Lonchura striata: one gene and its partner. The protein of the gene in region 1 binds, or shares a complex with, the protein of each later gene. Links are inferred from orthologs where the notes say so. Each region holds a gene or a part of one and is shown on either strand. Other genes may lie near its edges.

Region 1 (12,546 bases):
ACTCCCTCCAACCTTCCCATAATTTTTTAAATTTAAAAGAATGGACCCTGTTCTCATTTCCACAAACCATTCCTTATAGCACTGGCTGTGAAAATCGTATTTTCACCCACTATTTCTCCCTTGAACAGCCCTTGTGGAAGGAACAGACCTTTCTTTGAATAAAACTATTTCCTTTTAAAAAACGCAGTGCGCAGACACATAAATATGTTCTCAAGAACTAGGACATTCTTTATCATAACAGCCAGAGGCCTTGCTCTTTTGATCTGTCACACTCTGGGCCTTTCCTCTAGTACTCTTGTGCTATTTAATCTTTCCATGTGGATAACGGTCATGGTTTATGTCTCCTCTTCCTGCCCTCCTGTCTCTTTCTGTATCAGAAAAACTAAAGCCAGTCCCTTGACTCCCCACCATTCTTCTTTTCTTGCTTAAGCTATTCCTACACCAGCAAGTTATTTGGCACCACAAGGAACAGATCAAGAGATTAAAGCATTTGGTATGTGTACACCACATGTAGTTGGCCTGAGGGAGTATGACTTAAGGTTAGATTTTAGTCTGGTTCCCCAGGCTAGGGGGGTATGGTTCAGAGCTGTGCCATCTTTGGTTTGGATCCCTTGTTCCCATTGCAAGGGATGGAGCATCTGTGTTGCACAACTGGAGAAGAGCTTTTGGGCTACTTTTATCCAACAGGAATCCAGTTAGAATGAACCCAAACCACTCTGCAGCAAAACCAAGGTGCTGGGTGGGGACCATGAAGATTGGCTGACTGTGAAAACCACGCTGTGAAAACTGCTCTCAAGCAAAACACTCAGGAAGGCAAAGCCAAAAATGCCCGTTTTCTGAATGCCCAAACAAGTCCACTTGAAAATTACTAATTCTGAAACATGTTTAGAGAGCTTCTCTTTGCATCATACTTAACGTCACATGGACTTCGAGAGATCAGGGATCACACAAATTTCAGTCTGAATTGGAGAGGGGAGCATATTTCCTAGAAATTATCCCCCCTGCTAAGGCACAAACACTTTGCTCTCTGTTCTGCCTACAAAGAGTATTCTTTTCAGTACTCCCACTCCAAAAACAACCTCTCAATATGGTCAACAATATCAAACAGAAGCTGTCTCTGTAAAGGGCGACAAGCAAGCCATGTGCTCGAGCAAGTCTGCACTGCAGTGCTGAGAACATAAGGGCCAGCCTCGTGTGCTGGTATCGTTTCTCAGGGCTCAGTGGAACTGGTCTCTCCAGCTGCCAGCTACGGCCCCAGACAGGGAAATGGTTTTCATTTCACCTCCCAGTGAGAATTTGCACTTTTCACAAGAAACTTGTGGTTGCTGCGAGGTGTGGCAGGTGCACTGAGAGCCCCTTTGGTCCTCAGCTACAGCAGCACTTGTACAGGCCGCCACTTGTTCACATGGAGCCAAGACACAGCTCCTTCCCTTGTCACTGTCAGCTGGAATTGGTGTTTCCAGACCCTACAGACAACAGTTTTTAAGCTTTGTTACATGAACAAGACTTTGTCTCAAAATGTGACATTTCTGCAAGAATGAGAATGAAAGTAAAGGAAAATCCCAAGCTATTTCTGCTAGCTTCTGTATCTTGACACGCATTTTCTCTGACCTGTGCTTAGTCTAAACAAAATAGGAATGCTGGTGAATATCCACTGAGCCAAAAAACACATGGAAATATGGTGAAAAACAAACTACAGACCCATTCACAGCTGGTGTAAGTGTCAAGTTCAGCTTAAGTCAATGGAGATGCTCTACTTCACCTCAGCTCAGCAGCTGGTCCCTTACATAGTCAAACAAGATGAAACACAAGACAGATGAGGAGGAAACAGCACTTCCCAGGAATCAGTAGGATAAGCAAAAGAAGACAAACAAATCAAAACATGGTTGTTAGAAAAGGTAACAGAGGTTCCCCTGGGACCCTGCAGGGTCAGGTGAGGCTGGGAAGGTAGAGCCACTGCAGGTCTCTAATAAAGCTCATTTACAGCCCAGGCAGTGAAGGTGCTTGTGCAGGAGATTAAATGGGGCTCCTCATGCACAGGCAGCTTGGAATTGAAAGCTTGGGGTACTACATGCAGGAACCCAATTCCCTGAGCACAGACACTCCAGGAAGGTGACTTCGGACAAAATTTGGACAAAACACTGCAAACCCGATTGCAGCCACCCTGGGCCAAGTGTCAGCACTGACCTGGGCAACGGGGAAGAGGAACAGGCACTGAATTCTGCTGTGACAACACATTCTCCTTCCCTCAGCCTGGTGTAAGGCAGAGGAGTCAGCACCCAGATGCTTCCAGCATCCTGAGTCACTTGTGGAGCAGCTGCATTTTCCTCACCCACAGTCATCCCCAGATCTGCCGACAACCCACGGAGGTTTCCTCCCTGTATTTCCTCCCCCACATCCAGCTCCTCTCCCTCTGGACTTCAGTCCAGGATTGGATTCCCAAAACATGCTCCCATGCAAGAACAGAGCCCAGGCACCCACCAACCACAACTGCTTCATCTCACTGATGTGCAGTTTAAGTATCATTTTGCAGAGTGGCTACTCTCAGCCTCAACTTGAGAGGAGTTTGCTCTGCAGCAAGGACACGGCTCCAAGAGCTGAGTCGACACTGCCTTCCCAAATACTCCACCAGAAGCCCTGCACTGCAGGGAAGCAGCATTACCTCCCAGAGGAAAATCCCTGTGAGATCCACAGCTGCCCAGAGCCCTCCGTCGGCCAAGCCCAAAAAATTCAGCATTCATATAGAGAGGTTTCTGCAGGGCTGATTTCAGGCCAAAAGGGACAGATTTCCTGTTTTCCTCTCCTCTGCAGGGCTGTGGGGGGGAGGTAGGGGATGGGGGTCCTCCACCCCAATTTTGGAAGCAAACCTAGGATTTATCCTCCTGGCTGGGGGGCATTTAATTTAGGCACAATAGAGAGGCAATCTCCTCCAAATCAGAATTAAGCTCCAGAAAGGAGGGGGCCATTTGCAGTCATATCACTCTGAATGCGATATGTGCAACTGCAAGGACTGCTTTGTCTAAGTCCCTTGGCCTTAGGCCACGGTGCTGGCAATACCACTAGCTAGAGGAAGAGCTGGTGCGTGAGGATAATGGCAGAAGACAGGGAGGGAAGAGAGAGCCCATTTTGGATTCAGAGGAGGACGTTCTTTCATTGAAAAGATTCTGGGGGTGTTGAGGATGATCCGAACTCAGAAGAGAGGACAACTTAGACAAGAATAGTTCCAGCATGACAGCAAACTGCTGCTAACTTGCCGATACAAGGGGAAAAGGAGGGTGGGAGAGAAGGGGAAGATAAAACTGCATGAAAGAATCCAAAGCCGGAGCGGTGGAAAGCGCAGACACGGCAGCGAGAGGGCTGGAGACAGAAACTTCACCGCTCGGCTCGCATTGTGCGCGGCATGTCTGAGCCGGGATTCTGCAGTCCCTGCTCGCAGAGCAGCCAGACTCGGATCCCCTCCACTGCATGACCTAATCCCCACCCCTCACCCACCATCGCAAAATACCACCTTTGTTTTCCCTGCAATTTTACGGCTGTTCCGGAGAGCAAGGCACAGGTTCTCGTGGGAGCCGGCAGGAGAACGGTTTCCCTTGCTGGGCTTTGCTTTGTTTCTTTTTTTTAATTTTTTTTCCCCCCTCCGGTGACACTTCTGCTTTTTGTCAGAAATCCTCGGCACATCCCCTGCTCCCTGACCCTTCCGCAGAGCAGCACTCGAGCCCCACGGTGCTCCCCACACACGACCCCGGCTCCCCGAGCTTTGCACCCTCGCAGCCCCACCGAGCTCAGCTCCATGCAGGATCGAGGTGGCACAGCCACATCGGCTCATCCACCAGCTGGTGACGAGTCCTTGCAGTAAAATACGATTGCTGCTCTCCTGGTAGCTAGAACAGAGATGCATCCCGGAGATCCCTTTCGCTCCTCAGCTTCCCAGGATCACAACCGCTAACGGTGCCGTAAAAATCACACAGACACATTTCCCTCCCTCCTAAACCTAACTCCAAAACTTTTTCTCAGGGAAAAAAAAAAAAAAAAAAATCAGTCTGATTTGTGGCTGTCTGATTGATGCCAGTCCTGCAGGCTGGGCTGCGGGCATGGGAGACGAATACGAATTTTTAAAGTCAGAACCAACTTCTCCATTTTGGTGCGGTTTAATCGGAGCCGACGAGCACAGATTAGCGAGATCCCCTCCAAATATCCCACAGCGAAGCAATTGCTGCTGCGGCTTTGTTCAGGCTGCACCGATTCGCACACGGAGACCCGATGCACAGCAGCACCACAGCACCGGCAAAAACCCGCCGGCTGATGCCTTCGGAAATCGGGAGGAGAAAAACGGGGCAACGTAGTTTAAAAAGGAAGAAAAAAGAAAAAAGGCAAAAAGTTAACGCTGTCAAGGAAACTTTTTAAAGAGGAAAGTTGGCAGGACTCCTGTACAAATCCAAGGATGAGGAGCGATTTTTAAACAGGAGTTTTTTAAGAAATAGTGCAATCCCTGTGTGCCCCCCCATCCCCAAAAGTCTCCAGCGAGCGGAGAGGGCTCTTCCGCTCGGGATGCGGGGGAGGCTCCGACGGGGCAGCGCTGACCGAGGGTCGCCCCGAGGCGCCGGCGGAGGTCGGGGCTCCGCGGCTCCCCGCGGCCCGCGGAGCGCGGCCCGGGGCGGCCCCGCCGCCGGAGGAGGCGCGAGGCGAGGCGCGGGGCGAGCGGCCGCACTTGCGGCGTCCCGCCAGCAGCGGTCCTCGCTGAGGCGCCGCCGGAATATTCCTGATCCAGATCAATCAGCCGCCCCGGGGAGCCGAGCATGGAGGAAACCCGGCGGCCGGAGCCCCGGAGCGGCGGCGGCGCTGCGCGGGGCCGGGCGGGCGCGGAGCCCGGCGCGGGGGCGGCGCGGAGCGGGGCTGGCGGCGCCGGCCGGCGGGCGGGCGGGCGCGGTAATGGCGGCGCGGAGCCGCTGCCCCGCCATACCGGACTGGGCACAAACTCGAGTCCGGGGCTTCCCCCAGGTGCCGGTGCGGCACCCGCCGCTCGCCTCCCAAACTTGCCACCCAGTTGCCGCCGCGCACTTACCCGGGTTGAGGGGAGTCCCGGGGATGTGGGCGTTCAAGTTGGGCTTGTAAGACATTCCCAGAGACATGGCCAGCGGGAGGAGGAGAAGCGTCCTGAAATTCAGCGAAGCGTCTCCGTGTCTCCCAGACACTTTGGGTTGTTTACAGCAGTAGCAGCACCGGCAAATATGGCCGTCAGTTATATTGACACCCACAATGCAATATATCATCCATACATCATGAGGAGACGCGGATCCAAAAACTTTGGGGGAGAGCCGGCAGCCACCCGCCGCGGCCGCCCGGCGCCCCGCGCACGGCGGCGCGGAGGGCGGGGGCGCGGCGGGCGGGGGCGCGGCGGGGGTGCGCGGCCATCCCCTCACAGACAATGGAGCTCCCCTCAGGGACCGCCGGCAGGGAGCGGGGCGGGCGGCGGCGGCGGCGCGGAGCCCGGCGGCGGCGCGGGGCGGCGGGGGGGGGATGTTTTAATTAACTTCGGAAAGTTTTGGCACAAGTTGCGGGTTTGGCCGCGCTGTGCCCGCGGCGGGCGGCGGCCGCTGTCAGCCCCGGGCGTCCCTCAGGGCGGCCCGCGCGCCGCCGCCTTCCCGCCTCCCCCTCACCTCAGGGCGGGCGTTCACCCCGCGCTCATCCCCCCGCCAACCTCGAAAATACCTGTTGATAATTTTTAAATAATTTTTTTTCTCTCTCTCTCACCCACCCCCCTAGATGCCGCCGAGAAAAAACCTGCCCTTTTTATTATTTCTTTTTTTTTTTTTTTTTTTCCAAACCACTAGTTCTTTCTGCTTGAAGGTGGAAGGTTAATGTGGATTGCAGCTTCTGAGGGACTAAAAGAACATGGATCTCGTTGACAATCGGCACATTTTCTGCTTGCTAGCAGCAGTAAAACTTCCCCACCAAAATTTTTAAAAGAATCAGGTTAAATGACGAAGCTTTCCAGCATGCGTCTGCCATCAGAACTCATCCTTTTCACTGCAAGATATTCAGGTTTGCTCCTTCAGTCAATTAATATCAAATACACTCGAAAATTGTTCAGTTACTCCAGGTTTATCCAAACAAAACTACTTGGGATCTGGACATTCTCTCTCCTTAGGTGCACAGCTCAGCCTGAGACCCCCCCATATCAGACCCCCATGTATATTTTACCAGCAGCCACTCTGAGATCTGATAGTTTTATTGCATGCGCTGCCTCATGTGCTACTTAATGTCTATCCATGGCTTCATACTGCTCTAAATGCCAGTGACAGCAGACACGGAGAGCCTGATCATGCCTTTTGGAAATCAGGGGCACATTCCTCGTCAGTGACACTGACTCAGGCCCAGAGTGGACGGCCCTGCAGAGGGAAGCAGGTAACACCTCCGTCACAGAGACACGGAAACAGTCACAGAGCAATCAGATTATTTCCTCTGCATAAAGGAGAATCGAGGGAGAATGGGAAAAGAGGAGCAGCCTTTGAGCCCCTGGCTCATGCCCTGCTGACTGTGCACTGCATGAGAGAAACATCTGAAAATTCTGACTGGTACCAGATGAAATACCTTTGTATTTTATTTCCAGACCAAATGCTTGACTCCAGCGATCCTGGCGAATTCCAGACTGGCACTGACTGTCCTTACAACTGATCCATGCTCTGGTCTATTAGAGAGGGGTCCTGAGAGCCCCAGGCACAGAATTACACGCTCAGTGACAGTAGTTTCACATTGGTGCTTGTGATTACAACTGTGTAATTCTTCTTAGAGCCCTGAAAGACTGCACTGGTAAACCCTCACCGTGTGAGTGAGAACTCTGCAAACCTAAAGCTTCACTTCCAGATTTGTAAATAACAGCCTTTCTGTTGAATCCTGGAAGGCCAGCAAAGTCCTGCACACCGCTCCGGGATTTTCCATCATGTGGTTGTTTACAGTCACACCAAGTGAGTGAGAAATGGGAACACTCCGAGCTTGCCGTGTTTTTCACGGCTTTACACCAACTCTACAAAACTGTGCTCAGAGCAACACTGTGAAGAACAAGATCCCCTGTGTTTTGCTTGCGTTTTATAAAGACAGCTCCAAAATTTACAATATTCCAAGGGGGAGGCAGGGTGATGTGGAAAAAGTCCTGTAAAGATTATTCTTCCTTCAGCACAAGGCACTGTGATCTTTGGAGCAAGGTGTGAGGGCCAGGCTTGCTGAGATGCTCAGGCATGCAGGGCAGCATCATTTGTCCTGTAAGCAGGAGCCCAGCAGTGTCAGATCTGGGTATCTGATGTTTGCTCTGCAGTTTTCTGGGCACAGGTAGCAGTGGTGGCACAAGACACAAGACCCTGATAAAGGACAAACTTACTGCTCGGCCTCAGACTCTATTTAAGATTAATTTACTCTATTTTTTTGGCACTCACTGCAGGGTAGGAAGTACCTGCAAGTTCTTCCCATCTGCCGTGTGCTCTGAGGGCTCACTGCAGTTGTTCTGAACCAGGTGTGGCCACAAGAACAAAACCACTGTCGTGCTCGGGCCCTGGGCTGGCTGCTCAGCAGGGTGACCACAGAGTCGAGCTCCCTTGGAGGGGCGGTTTCACCTTGTTTGATGGCCCAAGCTGGGCTGCACCGCTGGAGTTGTGCTCTGCACATGCAAACTGTGCCTCGAGTGTGGCAGCTCCAGCTCCCAGGCTGTGTGCAGCAAGCTGCAGGTCCCTGCTCTGCAGCCTGATGGCTCGGTGGTGTTCGCTGACAGCAAAAGCAGCTCTTCATCACCAAGTGGCCAAGTCACAGAGCAGGAAACACAGCAGAGCCATTTTATCACACAGGTGACATTTGCAAGCCTGCTGCACGCTAAAATGCAACTTAAAAATAAACGTGTGAACTGCTGTTTTCCCACAAGAGAGGATGGACAGGAATGTGTGCCTGTCTCTTCAGCCACTACAAGAAGCACTGATGATGTATTTTCCAGGTACAGCTGCCTCTTCTGAGTTGTGCAATATCTGCAACATTCACTCTGTTCCCCTCCCCTTTCTTCTCTTGGTATTTTATTTTCTCTTTTCCCTCTCCTGGTTTGACTTCCTCACCTCTGCTCCTCCCAAACCACTGGGAATACTGAGCAGCCAATATTTCCACAGAGTTTGCCTCCAGCCCCTGCTTAGGCAGCGCTGTGACTGATTTGAAGGAGGTTTTCCCTTTCCAAAGCTCTGTGGGTCGGTGCCATGGCCCTGGGCGAGGGTGTAAGGAATACACATGCAAAGTGGGATGTTGGAAGGTGCTGGCAGCTCTGCCACAGGGCCGTGGGCCATGCTGTGAAACAAACTTGTTTGTCCCCTTTTATCTGGAAACAAAACGAAATAGTCATCACAGAGCCGTGCTGTAACACTCATGGGGACCTGCAAATGAGGAGCACAAACTAGGCTTGTTCCTTATCACCTTGGGTTAAACCAACAATGAAAAGAATTAAAGATGGCACAGTAAGACCCTCTTTTTTTCCTGGCATGTCTTTGACATGTGTAAAACATTAAATTTGCGCATTAATTTTAATGTAATTAATTGTTATCAGGCTTAATTAATTGAGTGACTTGGGGATATTCTAACTGTCCTTTACCCACCACAGAGCCCCATGTAGCACCAAGGGGAAAGAAGTGGGAAGTTTGTTCCTTTTCCTAGAGGGAGTTTATATTCAAATGCTTATCCTCACATTTCTGGTGATCCAGCCTCGTACATAAAATAACCACAGATGCAGCTTCAAGTTGATGAGCACCAGTTTAATCTTTGAGTCTCCAAACCGATCAGGTGCTACACAAAATGAAAAGCCTCTGGTAGGCCTAGACTGAAAATTAAGCTTTTTAAGTCTTGAGTGAAGGCAAGGTTTAACCTCTGTGGAAAGCGTGATAGAGGCATGTGAGTGTCAGCTTTAACAAACAGCATTTTCAAAGATGCTTTGCAGAGCTGAGTACCTTTCTCACTGGGATTGTAATGAGCCAGCAGCTCCTGGTGCAGAACCCTTCCTTCCCCAGGACACCCAGCAAGCCCCTGGGGCAGTCTGGGACCCTGGCACAGAAGGAAAATTGTGCATTTTATGCTTTTTTTGGCATCAGTGCTGTTCCTTTCTTATCGCTTTGCTACAGCTCCTTCCATTCCTGTCTCTGTTCCCCACAACTGCTTCCTGCTGATGCTACTAAGTTTCCCTCGTGCTTTTTTTGTTCCCAAGAGAAAGCTGTCAGCCCTCGGAGTCCCTCCTCTGTGATCTGCCTTTTCTGGCTGATATTTGCTGCCTGCTGCCCCATCCTCACCAAAATGCACAAAACCAATCTAATCCTGAATAAAAATACATGTTCCCAGCTCCACCCTGTTGCCTTCTTACACCTCAAAATCCCCCTGGAAGCTCTGGATTGCTCCCCTCCAGGGGAAAGAGCCCTCTGAGACTGTCTACAAGGAGGGCTGTGGTACCGTGTCCAGAGCCAGGCCCCAGGAAATCCTTGCAACAATTTCAGGTGGAAACCCAATTTCAGGTGGATTCCTATTCCAGCCAGGCTTTCCCCCTTAAATCCTCCCTGACAAACTTCTTCCCAGTCTAGCCCTGCTCCCCACTTGGAGATGGTTCCTCCCAGGGCCAGATGCCGTATTATCTGGAGCGACTTTCCCTCCCAGCCTTGTTTTCCTCCTGCTCCTGAGTCCTTTGTCTGGCTGCCAAGCGGAGCAGCCCTGCCAGGCAGACAGCTGCTCCGCATCGCCGCACGGGTGCTGCCCTATGGGCTGAGCAGCCCACTCCAGGCCCGTTCCATCTCCGAGGGGGACGCTCGGCCTCCGAGGTGTGGCATCCCAGCAGAGAAAAGGCAAATAGCACCTGCAAAGCTGTCAAAGGGGCTGGGAATGTTTAAGATAAAGAGGCCTTGGTGGTGCTCTGGGTTTACCTCTGAGACAGCGTGAGTAGAGAGCCTGCTCGCTCCTGCTCTGGCTGGAGGTCTCCCTGGAGGACCACGGAGGAGGAATGAGAAGTTTCCAAGCCCGCAGCCACAAAAGCACAGGCCTGGAATCTCTCTAATGAAAGTTTTCCTCTTTGCAGTTTGCCAGGCAAACAAGCACCAGGCACCAATATCAAAACCAGCCCAGATTCCAATGAAAACCAGCAAAGAAGTATTAGAGTAGAAATGAAACCGCTTCGTTTTGCTTGGTAAGTACTGGCAAAAAAAATTACAAAGCCCCCTCGGGGAGAGGAGAGGAGAGGAGAGGAGAGGAGAGGAGAGGAGAGGAGAGGAGAGGAGAGGAGAGGAGAGGAGAGGAGAGGAGAGGAGAGGAGAGGAGAGGAGAGGAGAGGAGAGGAGAGGAGAGGAGAGGAGAGGAGAGGAGAGGAGAGGAGAGGAGAGGAGAGGAGAGGAGAGGAGAGGAGAGGAGAGGAGAGGAGAGGAGAGGAGAGGAGAGGAGAGGAGAGGAGAGGAGAGGAGAGGAGAGGAGAGGAGAGGAGAGGAGAGGAGAGGAGAGGAGAGGAGAGGAGAGGAGAGGAGAGGAGAGGAGAGGAGAGGAGAGGAGAGGAGAGGAGAGGAGAGGAGAGGAGAGGAGAGGAGAGGAGAGGAGAGGAGAGGAGAGGAGAGGAGAGGAGAGGAGAGGAGAGGAGAGGAGAGGAGAGGAGAGGAGAGGAGAGAGGAGAGGAGAGGACTCTCCCTGCCCTGCTGGGCACAGGGCACAGGCAGCTGGGCTGATGGTGGGGCTTGGGCCAAGGGGCTCCTCCTTTCTTGCTGTTGCTCGCAGGGATGGAATATCACTTTATGCCCACATTAGAGAGCTTCTCTGCATCATCTTTCCAGACAAATGAGTGCTCCACCCTGCCCGATTCCTTCAGTTTGCCTGGAAGGACTCTCCCTTCTTGCCCTGTGGGCTGGACTCCTGCTTCCCTCCCACTCCTGAGCCCTTGAAGGCTGTGCCAAGGAGTGAGCTGGCACTGCCGGGCTGCGGCACGGCCCTCCTCTGCCTCCCTCCCCGCGCTGCTGTGGGCCCGGGGCAGGGAATACCCCACCCTTTGGCTGGGGCAGAGGAGGTTCTGAGACTTGCTTTCATCCCAGCCCTGTCTGGGAAAGCTCCTGAACCTGCTCTGCGTCTGGCAGCGCCGGAATCCACAGCAGCAAAGCTGAGTGTTGGCTCGCCTGGAGTGCTTCCTGGAGGCAGGCTGGTGTCACACACCCCTGTCCATGTGAAATAATCATCCACGTGGCACCTGGGAGAGCTGCAGGTTCAAATCACAGTTTGAAGAGACACACTGGGGTTAAGCCCCACAGAAAACCTCCTGAGTGCAAAGCAAGCATCACCTGACCAGTGTCAAATGTCTGAAACAATCAGAAGCACAAACACCTCTGTCCCTCGGAGCCTCCTCGTAGCACCAACTGTGCAGCCTGACGGGAGCATCCCTAATTGCTTTGTTACTGGTCATTTGAGCAAAGGAAGTGGAGGAGAGAGTGAAAGCAAAGCCCAGGGCTGGAAAATGGAAATGACTGTGAGGAAAGGAATGTGGAGCTTCACAACAACTCAGAGTTGGCGGGGGAGAGAAGAGCAGGGTGAAGGGGGAAGGAGGAAAAGCAGGAGGTAAATCACGGTGACAGGAGAGCACAGTCCGAGTGTCTCTGCCGGTGTCACACAGCCCTCGGCTGGCGCTGCTGGGCACAGCACTTCCTTCCCTCACCAGCCCACAGCCCAGACACAGCTTTTGCCAGGATGAGTCTAACACGTCTGCTGAGCTCCTGCCCCAGGACACTGCTCAGAGCAGAAGGGAGAGCCCTGACATCTCTTGCCAAGCTGGTGTCCGTGGTGTGAAGCCTCTGTGCCCAGCTCCGTGGGAATATGGGTGCAGAGTCTTGCGGTGCAAATCCCCTCTCCCAGTGGAGGCAATGGGACAGGATGATGCTAAAACCAAAGTATTTTCAGTGAGCCAAAAGATCAAACTCTGCCTGAACATCTACCTGAAGAGTGACAGCAGCCTCCTGCCCTGGCACACTGCCTCAAAACCCATTCTTCCCCCGACAAAAGCAAAAAGGGGAGGCCATGGGGTGCTCCCCAGACCTTTTGGAGGGGACACGCTGAGGGTGCTCCCCACGCAGCTGCCCCGGCAGGTTCTGCAGCCTGGCAGCCGCCTCGCTGTGCCCCCGTGCTCCGTGAGCGCAGAAAGGCAGCGACAATCCCGGATGTGAAGGATTTACAGCCCTGGCAGGCGCTGCTGCTGGCTCGGTCGGGAATTTGAACAGCGCAGTGCCAGGCCGAGCCCCGCCAGCGATCAAACACCGCGGCCGAGCCACGAGGCCAGGGCAGAGCCCGAGGCCCCAGAGCGGCTGCGGGGGCCAGGCCAGGCCCTGGCATCCTCGGCAGGAGCCTCCCCTCTCCAGGAGCCCGTGGGCTTTTCTCCTGCCAAAGAGAGGGGACGAAGGCAGGGCTGTGCTCCGGCAGAGGGCCAGGGGGATGCGTGGGCTCAGCCTGAGCTGGGGCAGCACAACTGGGGGGCACTCCCTAAAGCAGGCAGGAGCTGTCGCCAGGAAGGTCCCGATCCCA
Region 2 (12,350 bases), on another chromosome or scaffold:
AGCTTGGCATTACAGACTCCACAGATTGGTCAGAACACAGACCTTGTGTCCAGACAAAATGCTCATAGAGAAACTTATTTCATAAGAGCACTGGGTTAGAAGGCTTGCAACATGTGAGACACAGGCGTTCTAAAGATGTTCATTGAACCAGCTGGAAATCACATTTCTGTTTTCTCACTACAAAACCACAAGAGAATCCCGATGGAGAAAACATGATGGAAGATTCCACGGCACTCCTAGTGACACCAACAAACCCCTAGTATGCTATAGGAGAAGAGCAACAGACCATCAAGTCCTTTTCATCAAAGTGCTGACAAAGTGGCAATCTAAAACTCACAAAGCAAATAGAAAAAACTTACTTTTCCAGATTGAATGATACCCACAGAACTAACATACCCTTTTCTAAAAAATAACCCAACAAAAAAATAAATTTACAAGCCTCATGTTTTAAAAATCAAATTTAAAAAAAAAAAAAAGTATTTCCAGGATAGTTGTTATCATTTTCATATTATCTCGCCCCCTCCATTAGAAAAGGAAAACAAAAAAAAAAAAAAAGTACTAGAAGGTTTAGTGAGGCTCACCTAAAGTTCTATATTTCTATACATTTCATCTGGAAGAACTCAAAATATTGTGGGGGCTGATGAATATGATCATAAATTTTGATTATAATTTTGATCATCCACACCTGGATGAGCAAAATTACCAGAGTTGGACATTGCAGGGTATTTTTAAAGGACCTAATTACACCATCATATATCTGCATTAAAAAGTTAGCATTATCTAATATCTTTCAAGTTATTCATCCCAAAAAATTTGAGATTTATAACTCCTACATAATATATTCACAGATTCATTTTGAAAACTCAAGCATCATATACAATACAAATGGTATTTAATAGCATGTGGCAAGAAATTGACAGGATGTTGACACACTTTAAATTTCAGTTATTTACAAATATGACAAGTATTTTGCAAATTACTATTTTAATCTCAGATTTTTAAGTTCTGAATTATATTTTCAGAATTGCATTTTTTCTCTTCAGAATTTTATTTTTCATCAAAATGTTATCATTATGATATTTCACTTGCATACCAGATGGCAGATACAAAAAAAGTTTATGTTCATGTTGAAAAGTGGGGCTTTTTTCACCTATTACCACTTGTTGTTTTTCTGGAAAAAAAAATAAATATAAAAACCCTAACCCCCTATTTTTTGACTAATATCTACATTTAGTGTAAATGCACATAACAGCTCTTTTACAATCTCTTTTACATCTGCCCAATGATGCATTTCATTCTTTACATTAAGGAATACATGTTTATGTCTAATTCAAAAAAGTCACATCAAATAATTACAAGTGCTCTTAAGCTTAAATTGACTTGCAACCAATAATTACTTTTACTTTTGACTTAAAAAAAAAAATGCATCTGTATCTTCCAGATGAAAAGATACATTCTTTTTTTTTTTCCAGATGCACAGTCTCAATCATATGGATACAGGTAACTCAATTCTCAGAAGCAACTAATAGGAGCAGGAGAGAATCAGATAATACTAAGCAACTAACTAGATATTAATAAATGCCTAACATAAATATATATTTCACATGCCAGAAAACCCCACAATTTTAAGCAGTTGCAGAAATTGAGCAGGCTGTGTTAGTAAGGAAAAATGCCCTACACCATCTACTTACTAGCATGCTTATCTGCAAGCATTATAAGGCTGTTAGAAATATCTCTTCGCCTGTAAAAACACACCACTTTCGCTTCCACGTTCCCATTGGCAGTCTACAAAAGAAAGAGAAAATCAAGTCAGGATGTATCCCTCCTCAGCTGAGAAATACAAATTAAACACTCTCTGCTTGGAGTGTTCCCTCATATCAGTATTTCTCACATGATTAGTCAAGCTGAAATCAACAGAACTACTTCAATATACTCAAATATAAAATCTTCTTGAGAGAGGCCAGTACCAATTTCAGAGCAGACAAGAGGATTAACTACAATTATTGAGTCCTCAGAATTTATATTTTGTTCAGGTCTTCAGAGGTGCAATGCATTCTAAAGTAAGAATCCTTCAGAAATGTTAGAATCTTGTGAACATTTCTTTACAATCCTGCTTTGGACAGAAATGTATATTTCAAAGTACTCGGGCATTTTTTCAGAATCTCATTTAATATAACATTTATTGAAAAAGTCTTTTGAAAGATTTATTTGAGAAAGTCACAACAGCTCCTAAAATAAAAGAGCAGTTTAGTTCACTGTTTTAATTACTCATTATGAGGACCACAATCTTCTATAAAGAATTTACTAATATTTGAAGAACTTTATCCTTCTCCTTTAAGGGTACAAAAGTAGTTTTTTACCTTGAGTTACTTACTTAATACTAAAAAGTATAATGTTTTGATTAAGCTTCTTACAAAAAAAATATTGTCCCTATTAGAACAATAATCAAAGCATTTTATTACATATTTACATAATATCTTCACATTTGCTCAATACCTTTAACATATGAAAGCAAACCATTCACATTCAAGATGTGTGGACTACAACCTCCAGCCTCCCTTTAAGGAAAAAAAATGAATACATGACTCTCTTCTACCCTGCATAAGCAAGATTAAATTATAGCAATGCAGTTTAAAGATAATAAACATTACATTCAATATATGATTGGAATCATGTCAATTACTGTGAATAAAAAAATTTTCTTCTCCAATAAAAGTCAAAAATTATTTGCCATGCACAAGTTCAGTGGATGTTGCATTGGACAGCACTAACAGCTAATGTGGTTGATGTCTGCTATGGCATATTGTTATGTTTCATTAATAAGAAGAAAACCACTTGCAAGTCACCAATTTTTTAATTTACTTTCTAACCACTGGGGAGAAATATCTTAATCATTACTTACATCATGATGAGCATTTTAACAATTAACTTTTGATGTAGTGCATCAGTAAGTTTTAATACTGCTTGAGGGAAAAGTAAAAAAAAAATACAAAAATATTAAAAATAATTTTAAAACCCATAGAAACACCACACTATTCTTAGTAGTGTCAGAGTGAAGAAAAATAATCATGCTTTCCCCAAAATGACTGTCAACAGAGCCTCCATTTTTCAGGAAAATACACTCATGATAAAGACAGAGGACACAGTTTGTACTTTATTCAAAAGCCCATTCTTCATTCACAGCTGCCAATAGGCAGAGCAATAAAGCCACAGAAGTCACACATTGTGTTACTCGATCAAAGTCTCGCTGGTACCTGCCAGCTCTTCAGATGTCTATCTAAAAGCAGACTCGTTACATGATGGCTTCACAGTGTCAGATTCCAGATGGATTCACAGTGTCATCGTCAGCCAGAGAATGAAATTTATTCATTTCTCCAAGAATTCATAGAATTCGTTAGAAAATTTTTGCAGCAGAGTAATCCTGTTCACCAGGGATGAACAACTGGGTGCTTCCTTAGGTAACAGGGTCGAGTAAGAGGATATCACATAGCAAGTTTTCAGTAACCCTCATAAATCCCTCCTACAGTAGAAATCTTATGGGATAGAAATAATTCTCAGGTTTTAACAAGAACCCTGACTTTTGCCAAAGGCTAAGAAAGAATCTTAGATATTTGTACCTTGTTAAGTTCTTCAATTCTCCTAATGAGATATGGATTGCTGGAAGAATTTTCAAAATAAACATAATCTGAAAGGAAAAAAGGGAAAGTCACTGAAATACCAAAAATTATGTAAAGACATATCACTATTAGTGCAAAAGTTTTCTTCTAAAACAAGAAGTTTTGAAAGGGCTGAGATTTCTTCATAAATGTTGGGACCGTGATGTATTTCTACACTGAGATTTAATATAATTTGTTCCTCAATTCTGGTTTTAACTGCACTACACCTGCTTTAACAACCATGCTGGGAAAAAGTTAAAGGCTTTGTGTTGAAATTTACACCGTAATCTAGTAATCCATACACCTCATTAATCTTGATAGGGAAGGAGCAACTTCTCACAATCAATTAGGGAAGATTTAAGAACTGAGCACTTTAGTGACTTTCCATATTACCGAGATTTACATTTCTGTAAGAGACGACACGTCACATTTATTATCAGGTGTTGTGGCAGTACAGTTGTCCCAATGAGTAATGTATGTTTTATGATACTTGCTCTTGTAATCTCTGTCCACTAAAATGCAAACTATATTAAGCAGGAATTGTCATGAAATTAGCAAGGATCTTGTAGGAAGTCTCTTTCAACATCATTAATATAAAAATATCTTAATAAAGTGAATGGAAATTTACTCATATCCTGAAAGCTGCTCCCATGTAACATACAAAGAATTGACAAGTGTGTTTCCTTCATAGTTTTCTGAAAACTTGTTTTTGTCCAATGAAGAACTACCCACCAAATGTCAACCACACTTTAAAGTTGATGTTGGACTTCTGTACCATGCCCCTTGCACACTTTGTTTCTAAAAATCGGATGAGGAACTATAACAATGTATAAAAGCCTTCTGCAACAGTTTGACACTACGGTACAATGAAAAAGAACTTCAGGTAGTTCTAATGAAAGAATAAGATCTCTGGATAGTGCTCACAATTGTTTATTATGACTACAACGAAAAAAAAAAATAATAATTGGTGACCCATGAGGTAAACCCTCTGTGCTACCTGCTCAGAGAAGGATTACTTTCATGAGTAAATCTAAGTGCTCTAATGAGACAGCATTCAGATGGAAGATTTGTGGCTCCATCAGTGTATCTCAAAGCATTCAAACTATTGTCACCTCTCATTTCCACACATCTTTCCTCTCGGTTCTGGATTTTGAGAGAGCAAGAGGATGGAGCGATTTTTGAGCACCCAGTACTACATACCTAACTTGAGCAGTGCACCTGAGCCACAGCACTGGGCACACTGCCACGTTCGTTCCCTCCGTGAGCGAGCCAAAGTTATCCGTGTCATTTTCGACAGGCTCGGGGTGGGAAGACAAACGTTTGCCGTGTTTTTCACCGCCTAAACGCCCTCTCCCCACCGCCAAGCAGTCACGAATCAGGGCGCTGCTCAGGGGTCACGGCGGCGAGCAAGGGAAGCTGACAGAAATCCCCCGGTTACGCAGCCAGATTAATTATTTATCCCCAGCAGACCAAGGAAGGCGCGGAGAAACTCCGCCGTGAGAGCGAGGGAGGGCGCGGGGGCAGGGAAGCGGCGCGGAGGGAAGCGGCCCCGGGGTGGGCTCGGGCTGTCCGTGCGCAGCGCCCCGCGCCGCCCCGCACCGCCCCGCGCCGCCAGGGCCCGCCAGGCCGCGGCGGGGCGGGCGCGGCCCGGGGGCGCACGGCCGGGCGGGCGGCCCCTGCTCGCCCCGCGGGGCCCGGCGCTCGGCCCCTCCGCCGCTCTGCGGGGAGGAGGCGAGGCGCAAAGGGCGGCCGTGCCCGGCCCGAGGCGCGGCGCGGGGCTGGCAGCCGGCGGCGCCGCTCCCCGCTTTCCCGCGGAGGGCGGCGCTGCCCTTCTCCTCCTCGGCGGCGGGGGCCGGGCTCCCACCCGGCGCGCGGGGCTGGCGGGGGAGGAACCTGCGTCCTCCGCCCCGCGGAGGGCCCGGCGACCCTTCGCCGGACCGGCTGCCTCCTCTCGCCGCCCGCCCGGGCCCGGCCGCCCCGCTCGGGACCGCGCCCGCCGGGGGCCGGGGCGCCGCTCTTCGCCCCGGCGCGGCGCGCACGGCCCGCGGCCCGGCGGGACCCCCGGGCGGGCGCGGGGGGCTCCGGGCGGGCGCTGCCGCGTCCCCACATACCTCCCACTCGGTACATGTTGGCCGCCATGTCTGCGCTCTGCGCCGCCCTCCTCCTCCTCCTCCTCCTCCTGCCGCCTCTGCCGGGCCGGGCTGGGCAAGGAGGGAGCGGCTCCCGCCGCCGCCCCCCCCGCGCCGCGCCGCCACCCCTCGCCGCCCGGCCGCAGGACACAGCGCCCCACGGGGCCGCCGCCGCTTCCGGAGCCGCCGGCGGGGAAGGGGTTAAACCGGCGCCCCGCCGCTCCCCCCGCGCACCGGCCCCGGGGCGGGTCCGGGCCGGGCCCGGCCGCAGGTGGGGTGGGGCGGTCCGGCCGGGCGGCGCCGGGGGAGGTGCGGGTGCGCGGACACGCTCCCCGCCCTGCCCGAGGCACGCCACGTTCTGCGGGCTCCCGCCGCTTTGTTCCGACCCTTTCGGAACTTGGGGGTTTTTTGGTGTTTGCCTCTTCCCCGGAGCGGCTGAGGGATCTCTCTCCTTTGGCAGCTCTGAGTAGTATCTCAGGAAAAGTTTGTTTCTTGCGCAGCACCTGTTGGTGATGGGTTTGGCGGCCCCTTTGTTCGCCTCCGTAGCGCGGTCCCGCGGGCGGCTCCGGCGCCCCCAGCCCGCCGCGGGCACGGTGCCTCTCGGAGCTCTCCGCCGTCCGCAGGATGCAGCTTGCTCGCAACAGGCAGCAGAAAACATCTACGACAGAATAAAGATAAATCTAGCAGCTCATCTCGGAGGCAGGAAGCGTCGAAAGAGATGCTTACAAATCATCCGATGAGAGAGATGCTTAAAAAACATCAATACTGATGTAACATGAAGCCATTTCCCCCTGTTTATACAAAGTTTACACCATAAGCAACAATCCATACACTTTACAAACAAATTGATCCTGCTGTGGCATGCTTTCTTGGAAAATAAATGCTTGTTATTATCTTCCTGCAACGAAGGGGATGATTTATTATTGGTTTTATGTCCTGGATATTTATGTGTGCAGCTTGAGCGTTACCAAGTTAAAATTTCACTTCATCCTGAGCTGCAGGAAGATGCGTTGATTAGAAGGAGGGTGATCATCCTTGGTGTTTCAAACGATTATATCCTGTCTTTCTTTTCTCCTCTAAGCAAATCTGGGACTATAAAGTTTTGTCTACTTCCAGGACACTTTTAATTTCTCAAGTGACTACAACTTTGTATCAAAACGCCAACTGAGAAGCAACTTTCTGAAACACATGTAACAGGCACATGATACAGTAATTTATTTTTCTTTTAAAAACAGCAGCACATTCAAGCAGTGAAAGGAAAAATGGGGAATTTTCCTCTGTTGAACATCTGTGGGAACTGAAAACAAGTCAGCAGAAGCTCCTTGGGAAGTACCAACTCTGTCCAGCTGGGTATTTCCAAAGGCACAATAACATGACCTTAGCAGAGACCTGAGGTGTTACTTTTACTCTCCTGTTTTACTGCTTGGGCAAATGAAAGAGGTTAAACTTTTTAGGCAAGAGAAGTTAATTCGAACATTTGGTTTGGCACAGACATTTCCAATTAAACAGAATGCCTCCAAGCTCTTTTCCTCATTTTAAGTCTGCACTTGGACATTAGGGGGACTGCCCTCACTAGGAAGTTTACGATGTCCCCTCATCCAGCAAGGAGTAGATTTGGACAGACACAGACCATTGCTTCCATCAGCTGAAGGCATGGCCTGTGGAAGAGAAAAGCAACTCCTGGAGATACAGAAGGTGAGAGAGCAGCCCAGGGAAGCCCATGGTCCCAGCCTGTCCTTTCAGGTGGACAGCCTGAAAATAGTTAGAAAACCACCCTTACTTACAGCTGCCAGACTGAGGCTGCATCGCAGACCAGATAAATAGAGAAATAATGACATTTATATACCTCAGTACTGAATCACTGGGCCCTCTTGTTCGCAGTAACACGGCTCGCACAGCAGCAGCACAGCCCGAGGTGCTCAGTACATCCATAGCTCAAGGTCACTGCTTTGGGAGTGGGCACAGCCAGCTAGTGGATACAGAGTTGCAGGACTGGCAGTACATTTTACTTTGGTGTAACATACACAAAAGCCTGGATACAGTTTATATTCAGTGCTCTCTCAGTGTACAGAATGGGAAAAATTAAAGTTATGTAAACACCTTCATTCTTCTAGATTAAATAGAATGGAAAACTTTTGTTTCAACTACAAAACTGTTAAGAAAAAAACCCCAAAAACAGATAAGAGCTTTGTCTTAACCTGGTATATGAACTATGTTTAGCTATAGACTGATATCACTTGTGCTGTTCAAAAGAAACCACATTTCTGTGGCAACCTAATTCAAGACACAAGAGAGATTATTCCTGATAGAGACATGGGTTACCTGAGAGCTTCATTTTACAATTTTCTTTGTTGTGCCACCGTGAGCAGTCCATCATTCCTCTTCACGGTCCTCCAAAGAAAAGCCAAAAAAGAAAGAATGGAGTGTTAAAAGGATCATTTTAAAACACAGACTAGTTCCATGGTCCAGGCTGGCCAGCTGCCCCCATGGTGAGCAAGATCAGCAGTCCTGAAAGAGATGGACATCAGACACTGAGAGAAGAGATGACCAAGGACCTTTCACAGTATCTCCCACAGAGTGTCTATTGATTTATCCAGGCTGCACCCTCTTTTTTGGCTTTTTCTCTTTAGCTTCATCAGATGCACCTAAATCATGTCTATTACATGCCTATAAGGTCAACTGGAGCTATACAATTTTCTTAATGTATTTAAAAGAACACTACTATGAAATAATTTTTTTCCATTAGAGATAGTACAAAAAGTTTCACCTTTTATTTATAGGCAATTTCAGGCTTCTTTCTTGCATGTGGAATTATATAGACAAAGGTAATGGGAATCTACTATCAGACAATTTTATTCCTGAATTTTCATTTTTCAAATTGAATTTTCTCATTTTCCATTATTGCAGAGTGAAGACGAAAGTTTTAAAAAGTTCTGACAATTTTATCATTTTGTGAAGTCATAGAATAAGAGAACTTCCATTGCAGCTGTCATGCAGCATCCTATTTTGTGTCCATAGAATTTAATTTCAAAGTTTCCCAATTTCAGAAGTTCCTTAATTACAAAAAGCCTGAATCTAAACAACGCCAACCTCGCCATCAAAACACGTCCAACCTATAAGCTTCCTCACAAAAGATACCAGAACTGAAGACAAATCTTTGTCAATTACTTGATTGATAATGATTATACTGAAAGTCAAGAGGAATAAAGTAAAATATATTGATAGAGGTGTGTATTTCAGATTGATATACTTCAGGATCTTACAGGTAGGAACATCTTAGTGAAATTGATAAAAACACTGAAGAAGGAGTTACTTGAACCTTTATAAAAAATGTTCATCTTCCTGTAGACCTTTCACAGATGCTCACCCTTGTGTTCATGCAATATAAAGGAAAAGGCATTTCCCATCCTTGGCCCATACCTATGGGATCCTAGAGGGTTTGTTGGTTTGTTTTATTTGCACATGGAATTTTGAAGCAGGGGCAACATTCAGCTGTTCAAGTATATGAGTTTACACCAAGGAAAAGCAGCTCCCTTGCTAGTAAAACTTTACAACAAATGAACTGTCTGCATACACATAATCCATGCAAAGAGTTAAACAAATTACAAGGGACTTCACCAATAACAATTTCTTATCATCTTAAACTGCTACACTGAGAGTAAATCACCACCACTGAGGACTTGGGTAGTTTATGGACTTGTGCTGTAGCTCAAAAATAAAATGTAGCCTGTACAAAGTCACTTTGCTCTCATGTGAACAAACAAGCCAGCTAACACAGTCACACATTGATCAGACTGACTTACAGGCAACTAACAGTATACAGGTGCTTTTTTTTTTTATCAACACAAATACACACCATAGCTTGCGAAACCTCATTAATGAATTTGTAGCAGAGACAGAATTTATATTGCTGTTACTTAATTAGTCACAAAACAAAAGTATTTTTTCCATATCAATACTCATTATTATATTTATATAAAAAACCCTTATATAACTACCATTTTGTAACAATCATTATATAAGGTGGGGTTGTGGGTTTTTTTGTTTACAGAAATACAAAATTCAGTGTTTGTTATCACAAGCAATAGAAACTTTTAGCTGCCTCTACAAAGCAGAAACTAGGTGCAATCTGTAAGAGATGCTTTCACACCAACTTCTATATAACACCCCAAATCTCTCACAAGAAAAAAATCATCTGCTCTTGGTGTCAGAAATAATGTTGGCTTTTTTATTGAGTCTGAGTCAGATCTCTTAAGAGACTCTTAGTTAAATTTGTCACTATTTTCATTAAATATGATTTAAACAATAGCTTAAAGCTAATTGCTGAATTACTAGTACTCTGCAGATTTAGATGTTGAATCCAAATCCTAAAGTCGTAAGAATTCTGCTAAATCAATGTGCAGATAAAAATGGTGCTTATGGTGAGCAACAAGTTATTTATTGAGAGGGGAGTTAAAAACAGGTCTCAGGTAATTGTTTTTCAATAAGTATCATAGTGTATAGATTGGTGCAATAGCCTACCAAATGGCATTTCTTTGACACTACACATAATTTCATTTCCCATAAATCATACAATTAAATCAAGGTTTAGTCTTTTTTTTTTTTTTTGGGGTTTTTTTTTTTTTTTGGTGCAAAATAAGTCAGATCCAGACCCATATGTACCTGTCTTCTTGTTTTTACTGAATTTGCTTTAATGAAAACCAGTCCCTTGCAATGGAAAAATTGCTTTAGCTTTGAGGAAGGGATGGTAAAGTAGGGGTTATCATTAATCTTCTATTAAAGGCTAGATGTATTTCTTCCACTCCAGAGGCATAACTCTCCATTTTTTAATAATAAAATCAATAACAAAGTAAATATCTTCTATTTCTAATCGGATTAGAAAAAAAAAAAAAAAAAAAAAGATTTACCAATCTAGAGCTTTTGTTAGACCTAACAATTTACTTTCCAGTCCCCATCTTAATGGAGAAAAAGCCTGCAACTCTAGGATTCAGTTTTTTACCCCATTCTGTTTGCCAGTTTTAGACGACCCTTAGGTTTATGTCTAGTTTTTGTTCAAGTCCATGCAAATTTTGTGGTTGACTCCAGTGGAGCTAAAGCAATACCATTACATAGCTTTTTTCTCTTTGACAAAAGCAAGACTGCAAATGAGAGCAGTTGGAAGCACACTGCACACATCTGCAGCACTCTAAAGTGAAGCCATTTTGGGCTTTGGATAGATACTAAACACTCTACAGCAAATTTACTCTTTATCTCTCCCTTTCTTTCAACTGATCTATTTTTTGTGCTTAACACCTGCTAAAAAGCTGTGAAAGGTGCTTAATGACACCTATTTAAGTACAGTGCAGTACATTCATCTGAGCAGAATTAATTTAAGTCAAGGACTCCACATCTGTTCAGTTCAGTTTTTCTGGAGCTTGAATGATCTCAGGCAAGCAACACCGAAGTGCAACTTATTGAAATGTACCCTCAGTGCCTTCCTGTGTCTCTAAAGACTGCCTGGTGTATCCATTACAGATGCATTTGACCTGAAATTTCCAGTTATCAGTTCTACCTCTAGCTTTGAAAACCAGAACAATTTCCTTATGCAGACATTCTCAGTTCAGTCAGAGAGATATGAAGGTTTCTAACCAGGCAGAAGCCTGGGAAACAGTTGGGAAAGAATATAAATAATTCTTTATCTCTTTTGTTGTTCACTTTGTTTATAGATAAGTTCTGCCACTGTGAGTCATTCACTGCACACCAATGGATCTACTCTAGGACCAATAGAGTGGGTCTAGACGATACTCTTTATAAAAGAGATATATTTTAAATACATCAGAGTTCTATTCTCTCGCCTTCTGTAGTGATTTCACACTGTCCTGCCTCAATGGTGTCATCCTTATGCAGGTCTCCAGCTCAGCGCAGTGAGAAAACCATCACTCATTGTTCTGTTGGTAGGAGGAACTTCACTTCTGAATTCAGGCTGGATGACTCTTAGGGACACATTTATCAGTGCTGTAATGCACACACCTTCCTTCCTCTTAAATCAAGGGCATCATGCCTGCTTACACACAGTGAATTTAACTTTGTGTGCCAGTGACCTTTATTTCTTACAACAGGTGGTGTGACAGAGGAGGTCAGCTTGTGATGAACCTATGTGATGAGCAGGTGTCTGACTAGATGATTTACTTCCAAAAACCACTCTGGGGAGTGGTGACAAAGAGCAGCAGCATTCAGCAACACAGCAATGCTGCTGGTATTTCACAAAGTATTGGTGCTGTATTTAAGTCTTTTACCTAAAAGACTTTTTGATTGTCTCTCTTTGACAGAAACAATCAATTGTCTCAAATACCTGTCTCAAGCTATGAAGTACCTTCTCAGGATGAGTGGAAAGAACAAGGAACATACGTCTAGATGGATAGACTTAGTATACCAGGCAATAGGTGCTAACACAAGAAATCCTGCAAGAACTAGAGGATACCTAGTTGCAAAACTGGCATGGTTTTTATTGTCATTTGGAATTATTTTGTTTGTTTTAAATCAGCTATGTTTTGCTTGGCAAGAAGAAACAAACAGCTTGAGACCC

The links.
Region 2: CDK2AP1 (region 1) and MTA3 share a complex: the UniProt entries of both Homo sapiens proteins name them as parts of the nucleosome remodeling and deacetylase (NuRD) repressor complex. The link is inferred for Lonchura striata from reciprocal best matches to the Homo sapiens genes CDK2AP1 and MTA3.

The regions. Positions count from the first base shown.
Region 1 is NC_134620.1:13,007,217-13,019,762, forward strand, and holds the start of CDK2AP1 (cyclin-dependent kinase 2-associated protein 1), read right to left. Parts: upstream 5,369-12,546; 5' UTR 5,271-5,368; coding exon 5,063-5,270; intron 2,785-5,062; exon of another isoform or gene 2,742-2,784; coding exon of another isoform or gene 2,663-2,741; intron 1-2,662. UniProt on the Homo sapiens protein: Inhibitor of cyclin-dependent kinase CDK2. Also acts as a component of the histone deacetylase NuRD complex which participates in the remodeling of chromatin.
Region 2 is NC_134605.1:14,008,822-14,021,171, reverse strand, and holds the start of MTA3 (metastasis-associated protein MTA3), read right to left. Parts: upstream 5,893-12,350; 5' UTR 5,796-5,892; coding exon 5,768-5,795; intron 3,686-5,767; coding exon 3,618-3,685; intron 1,786-3,617; coding exon 1,692-1,785; intron 1-1,691. UniProt on the Homo sapiens protein: Acts as a component of the histone deacetylase NuRD complex which participates in the remodeling of chromatin.